Linked DNA regions of Danio rerio. The protein of the gene in region 1 interacts with the protein of each later gene in a biochemical or structural test. Links are inferred from orthologs where the notes say so. Each region holds a gene or a part of one and is shown on either strand. Other genes may lie near its edges. The genes, in order: fga and fam20cb.

What was found.
Region 2: of the proteins of fga (region 1) and fam20cb, one has a biochemical effect on the other in vitro, tested with the Homo sapiens proteins (2 studies listed by IntAct). The link is inferred for Danio rerio from reciprocal best matches to the Homo sapiens genes FGA and FAM20C.

The regions. Positions count from the first base shown.
Region 1 is NC_133176.1:11,470,468-11,473,721, forward strand, and holds the end of fga (fibrinogen alpha chain precursor), read right to left. Parts: coding exon 3,178-3,254; intron 2,757-3,177; coding exon 1,898-2,756; intron 1,678-1,897; coding exon 980-1,677; 3' UTR 810-979; downstream 1-809. UniProt on the Homo sapiens protein: Cleaved by the protease thrombin to yield monomers which, together with fibrinogen beta (FGB) and fibrinogen gamma (FGG), polymerize to form an insoluble fibrin matrix. Fibrin has a major function in hemostasis as one of the primary components of blood clots.
Region 2 is NC_133187.1:19,965,329-19,969,159, forward strand, and holds part of fam20cb (extracellular serine/threonine protein kinase FAM20C), read left to right. Parts: intron 1-2,829; coding exon 2,830-3,088; 3' UTR 3,089-3,831. UniProt on the Homo sapiens protein: Golgi serine/threonine protein kinase that phosphorylates secretory pathway proteins within Ser-x-Glu/pSer motifs and plays a key role in biomineralization of bones and teeth.

The DNA.
Region 1 (3,254 bases):
TGTTCTGTCAGGGAATAAAATGTACCATCAGAGACACAATTTGTGAATAAAGCAGTACTCACTTACACTCATTGTTTTTTTTTTTTTTTTTTTTTTTGCTGCTTGTTCAAACTACCAATTAAAAATGAGCTGAAACAACAAAATTTTGGAGATTTTGGTGGAACCTACTTGTTTTCTGTTTAATCAACTTAAATTAGTTACATTAACTTAATGGATTTGTGTTTGGGCGACATAAGTTGTATTGTATGGTACCCTGCATTGTTTTCAGTGTGTCTACCCCTAAAAAGTGTTTTAAATATTTGGCCTTTATGCACTATTAAGGTTTCATTATGAAGCATTGATGGTTTTGGTGAAAAGCTGTTGAACCCCTGATGGTGCAATTTTAGGGGGTGGATTTTTGTGAGAAAGACTAAAATGAGCTTTATCAACTGAAAACTTAAAGCGATAGTTCACCACCCCCTCCAAATACTCACTATTCACTCTCAAGTGGCTTTCTGAGTTTTTTTTTCTTGTCGAACCTAAAATAAGCTGAACACCAATAACCAATGACTTCCATATGAAAAATGTATACTATTTCCTATAATAAAAACTCTCTTCAGAAAATCTTCTTTTTGTGTTCGACAGAAGATTTTCAAAAATGAATGGTGAGTAAATGATGATAGAATTGTAATTTTTTGTGTGAACTATCCCCTTAAAGAAAACCAAAATGATCTGAACACATTGTGCTTTTGTGGTTACAACTTGTCTGTAGATCGTCCAGAAAATGATTCTGAAAGCAGACCTTTTTAAATAAAAACACACTCCAGAACTTAAAGTGAACACATCTTTATTGGAAACATGAGGTAATCTGGTTGTGTAAAAATGTATGTTGCATCATCATTGTATTACGTTCAACACAAGCAGAATATTAATCATACAGCTCATTCAAAACAACAGATATCCATCCTTTTTCCCCTAATCCCCTCTTTATGTTTTCATTTCAGACAGGTCTGATCTTCATTCTCACCACTTTGAGGGAGTAATCAGCTGGTTTGAAAGGCAGCCACACGACACCATTCTCAATCTCATAGGGGACTTTGGTAGCCGGGTCATACTGGCCTCCTTTATAGTAAATGCCATTGAGGTTGGCTGACTGGCAGTTATTATACCACCACCCTCCACCATACATCTCTGCACAGTTTTCCTCCCACTTATCACTGTCCCTATCAAAGGTGCTAAACTTCATGCCAGCATGTGAAAGGAAGGATCCAAGGTTGGGATGTCCTCTCACTAACGCATCTCCTGCATCCCCATCATAATCGGATGCAGTCAGCGGGAAACCTTCAGCCTCCGAGCCAACTTTAATGTTGTACTCAGCGTAGGCCTCAGCTCCAGTCCAGTCCTGCAGCTCCACCCTCAGAAGACTTTCTTTCTGAGTGAGAAGGTGCAGGAATTTGTTGCCAATCCAGATCTCGCCCTTACCCTGCTTGTCTATCTGTCCGAAACCATTTAGATACTCCTTCCAAGTGCGGTTGAAGTTAACAGACCCGTCCTCCCGCTGTTGAACCAGAGTCCATCCCCCCAACCCAGTGCTCTGGTCACAGTAAACCTCTACTACCTCCTCAGACCCCGCTGGTTTTATTTTGAACATCCCGCTCTGACCGCCGTTCACATGCTTCTGCTGGATTTCAACGCAATCTGAAAGAAGATTACACACCTGCCGATTAGAGCAAAACTGCATTGCAAATTCATTCCAGAGATCCAAACAATTGCTTCTTGGTGAGTATTAATAAATGTGATGGATTGGTATTTACTTAGATATCAGTTAGTCCACATGTTTCCAACAAACTCTTGTTAATAGTGTTATCATTATGTTTATCAATGGTTCACTTGTGTTAAGAGTTTCACTCGAGTGTACCTCCGCCAACAAAGCCAGCCTTGCGATCGTCTTGCGATTTCACACTGCGTGCATGGATGTCGGGCATATCTTCTTCCACGTCGCCCCGCATGAACGCCCCGAGGTCATCCCCAAAAATAGGGTCGCTAGTGAGGGTGGTCTTTGAGTAACTTTTGCTTCCATCTGACACTGTCTTTGTGGATGTTGAGGATGAAGATGAGGCATACTTTCGGTTGTCAGTGCCAAGATTCTTAAAGAAGTCTCCTCCGAAGCCACCCAGATCAGAAGTGCTGTGGCTTAGAGAAGTGAGGGACTTTTCATCACCGCCGGTCACTGTTATTTTCAAGCCATCGCGACTCAAATCTTTCCCATCTTTGGCTGCCGTCAAAAACTCTGAATCTGAAATTCCTAGTTTTCCTAAATCATCACACCCGGGCCCGCTAGACGAAACTTCAACCTTTTCCACGGGGCCATCTTTGGTGTGTGTTATCACTTTGCGAACTGATTTGGTGCACTGCTTGCTGGAGGTTTGTGATGTGGAGCCCGTACCTGATGTGGGAAACTTGCTAACTGTGGCGGCAGATTCGGCAGTGGAGCCTTCAGCTTCCAGAGAGAGCTGCATCTGGCCTACATCTCCAAAAAGCAGCTTCTGCTCAGCTTTGCCCGTTCCGCTCTTATAAATGGTGGGCACCAACACATCCTTCAACGGCCTGCTCTTCATGATTCCCAAGGAACTGACAGTCTCCACGCTCTGTACACGCATGGCGTTCAGATTGTCCATTTGCTTGTCCAAAGTCACATAGCTTTCCCTGTCCACCGAGAACTCGCTGTAGCTGGCACAAGAGCCTTTGCATGTGCGTAGTTTGATGTCAATGTCAACCTGTGGTAGGAGATAATATTGGAAAAGTTTACTTAATGATGCCGTTGTTTCCAGAAATCAGTGTAGAGATCAAATTTCACATAAACCAAGACTCCGTTTTAGCTAAAACTTGGTTAAGACTTATGATAGTTCAACCAAAACCTGTTTGAGTTTCTTTCTACTGTTGAACACAAAAGAAGATACACTAAAGAAAGCTGTATACCTGAAACCATTGACATCTATCATATGAAAAACAAACAATTGTACCCATTGACTATAGTATTTGTTTTTCATATAGATGTGAATGGTTTCAGGTTTACAGCTTTTTTCAAAGTCTCATCGTTTGTGTTCAACAGAAGAAAGAAACTCGTAACCCGGGTGGATAAATAATAAGTAAATTGTCATCTTCATGGTGAAATGTTTCTTTAAATATTTTGCTCACCTCAAGCCGCTGCATTACAACAACTTGATCTTTGACCTGCGACTTCAGAGCGTCCAGAAGTCGAAGTTGGCGGTCAA
Region 2 (3,831 bases), on another chromosome or scaffold:
ACACCGTATTAAAACAGTGGGTGTGATTTTGCCTATTACGATGCGATTGGATTACCATCTATGTTATGTATGTAATCCATACCTGTGTTATTAATCTAATCCATACCTAATTCCTACCCCTAAACCCAACCCTAACAGTAAATTATTCCCAAATTCAGACAGGAATAATAGTTGTATAACAATCATGTGGAAGTACATAGTCCTAACTGTAAGCTTAAACCTAACATAAACTGTAAACTTGCACCTTAATTCTAATTAAAATGTTGTTCTCTAGATGTTGCTCCGAGAACATGTCCTACTTGGTGAAATCATTTTAACCATAATAAGACAATGACAGCACACAGCAATTAGTCTTGCTTGGCCTGAAATCAAACAAACCTTGTTGAAATCTGCTGTGTCTTCTATTGTTGTTTAAGAGGATGCCTAAAAACATGAGGACCCCACAAGTGCTTTCGCTTTCTCTGTGTTTATTTTCGGCTCAATAATATTTAGGATAAACTTTATTTGTCCCCAAGAGGAAATTTGTCTTGGGCAAAAAGGTGATACAACGTTGCTCTATTAAAATAAATAAAACACACAAAACAATTAAGAACACACATTGTTTACAAAATAAGAGCATATAAAAATATGAAATGTTTAAAGCACAGAACACAGTCAGGTGCTACGTGTATACTACTGGTGCGTTGTTCTAGGTAGAGTTCAACAGTTTTATCGAGGTAGGAACAAACGAAAGCTTTAATCTATTGGTTTTACACATTGGCATTCTCAGTCTTTTTCCTGATGGTAACAGCTGAAATTCACTGAAAAGAGGGTGTTTGGAATTAGCAAAATACTTATTGCTCTTCTCATGACTGCTTATTCATAAAGAGTCTGTTTGGGGCTTGTATTGTTTTATTCCTATGATTTATTTTTTTATATATGAACCAGTTTATTTTTCAATTGAACAGACAGATTTCCAAACCAGACTGTGATTTTATAGCAAATAATGAACTTGAGTTCACTAAAGACATAATATGTGAACAATGCAGATTGCTTTATTCTTTAAGCAGGAATGGTGTTGATCACAACATTCATTCATTCATTTTCTTGTTGGCTTAGTTCCTTTATTAATCCGGGGTCACCACGACAGAATGAACCGCCAACTTATCCAGCAAGTTTTTACGCAGTGGATGCCCTTCCAGCCGCAACCCATCTCTGGGAAACATCCACACACACATTCACACACACTCATTTACTACGGACAATTTAGCTTACCCAATTCACCTGTACCACATGTCTTTGGACTGTGGGGGAAACCGGAGGAAACCCACGCGAAGGCAGGGAGAACATGCAAACTCCACACAGAAACGCCGACTGAGCCGAGGTTCAAACCAGCGAGCTAGCGACCTTCTTGCTGTGAGGCAACAGCACTACCTACTGCGCCACTGCCTCGCCAATCAAAACATTCTTTTGTACATATTCTATCAAAGGAGTCTTGATCACGGTGACCCATAACAAACTGTACTTTACTGAAATGAACTGATCCTTACCACTCCATTATTCCTTGTACAGCACATTGTTTTGAATATGTGCCCTCTAGGCAAAACTTACATACTTAAAACCTTTGGCTCAGGTCAGGTCTTTACAATCCCCTGAGACCTTTGTTCATATTGGGAAAGCCAATTAAATTAAATAATATTTTAGATCTGAGAGCTCTCTTATCCACCATAGACATTAAGGCCATAGACTTCAAAGTCTAGAAAAGAAATCAAAAATTGTCAAAACAATTCATGTGAGTTTGGTGGTTCAACTGTTGGCCTAAACCAAGAACAGATTTGTGCACCAAACAACAACTTTGTTTATCAGTGCCGTTCACATCCTGTTAATTTAGGTAATACAACGATTTGAGAGTGAGCAGCGCAGGTCAACAGGCAAGCATCTTATTGGCCATATTAATCAAACTTCCTAACCTAATGCCAAAGAAGCATTGGTGAATAATGAGTTTACAGTCTTTTGCTGCACAAATGTGTTATTGGAGCTTCATACGATTATAGTTGAACCACAAAGTTTTTGATTGCTTTTCTGGACCCTTGCTATACAGTTGAAGTCAAAATTATTAGCCCCCCTTTAATTGTTTTTCTTTTTTAAATGTTTCCCAAATGATGTTTAACAGAGCAAGGACATTTTCACAGTATGTCTGATAAGGTTTTTTCTTCTGGGCAAAGTCTTATTTGTTTTATTTCGGCTAGAATAAAAACAGTTTTTTAATTTTTATAAAAACCTTTGATGATCAAAATTATTAGCCCTGTTAAGCTATATCTTTGTTTTTGATAGTCTACAGAACAAATCATCATTATACAATAACTTGCCTAATTACCTTAACCTGCCTAGTTAACCTGATTAACCTAGTTAAGCCTTTAAATGTCACTTTAAGCCGTATAGAAGTGTCTTGAAAAATATCTAGTCAAATATTATTTACTGTCATCATGGCAAAGATAAAATAAATCAGTTACTACAATCATTTATTAAAAGTATCATGTTTAGAAATGTGTTGAAAAAAATCTCTCCATTAAACAGAAATTGGGGAAAAAATAAACAGGGGGGGCTAACAATTCAGTGGGGCTAATAATTCTGACTTCAACTGTTATATGGACAGTCAGAATGCTCTCTGATTTCATCTAAAGTATTTTAATTTTAACAAAGAGCAAGAAGAATGAAGGTTTGAGGGGTCAACATGAAAGTGAGCAATTTTTTTGTTAAATTTATTTTAACTTATTTTAGGGGGTGAACTAGTCCTTTGGGTAAATAGCTCTTTTGTTTTGGTTACTAATTGTGATCTGTTTGCCTCAGAGTGAAGAAGTCCACTCATTTACGGCTTCAGCTTGTGGCTAAAGAAGAGTTTAAACTGAGCTCTCTGATGGAGGAAAGTCTCCAGACGGACACACTGTCACCCATCCTCATCAGGCCTCATCTTGAGGCTATGGACCGCCGGTTGCGTCTGGTGCTACAGGTATTGGCCGACTGCATTGAGAAGGAGGGCTACAGTAATGTAGTGGAGGACGACATGGGCACAGAGGGCATGGACACAGGCACAGTCCCGCAGAGGTAGTGGGCACAGGCGTACTCCTCTGAAGCTCCACAGCAGCTCTAGAGACCATAAACGTTCCGCAAGAGATGCTCTTGTTGATCAACTTTTCTGAATTCAGTGAATTCCTAAAACTCATTCCTCAACCAATGGACCATGTGGATAACTAAAGATACACAGTAAAGAAAGAGATGGTGTCCTACAGGCTTGTGTTCATTTGATCCAGAAATGCTGGAGTAATGTCAAAAAAGCTGGTCTTCATATGTAACAAGACAGTGTTATAAGAACAGTGGTTCTAAACTGGGGGATCCTCACTTAAAAGGGCATTGTTTCAATGCAGACAGCCAATCATAACTATTAGTATTTATTCATTTTCTTTTCAGCTCAGTCCCTTTATCAATCTGAGGGTCGCCACAGCGGAATGAACCGCCAACTTATCCAGCACATTTTACGCAGCGTATGCTCTTTCAGCTGCAACCATTCTCTGGGAAACACCCATACACACTTATTCACACTCAAAAACTACGGCCAATTTAGTTTATTTCATAGACCTGTAACGCATGTCTTTGGACTGTGGGGGAGCACCCCGAGGAAACCCACGCGAACGCAGGGAGAACATGCAAACTCCACACAGAAATGCCAACTCACCCAGCCGAGGCTCGAACCAGTGACCTTCTTGCTGTGTGGCGACAGCACTACCTACTGCATCACTGCGTCGCCCTCATATAAATTCTTATGAATAAATTAATCATATATATTAGAATTAC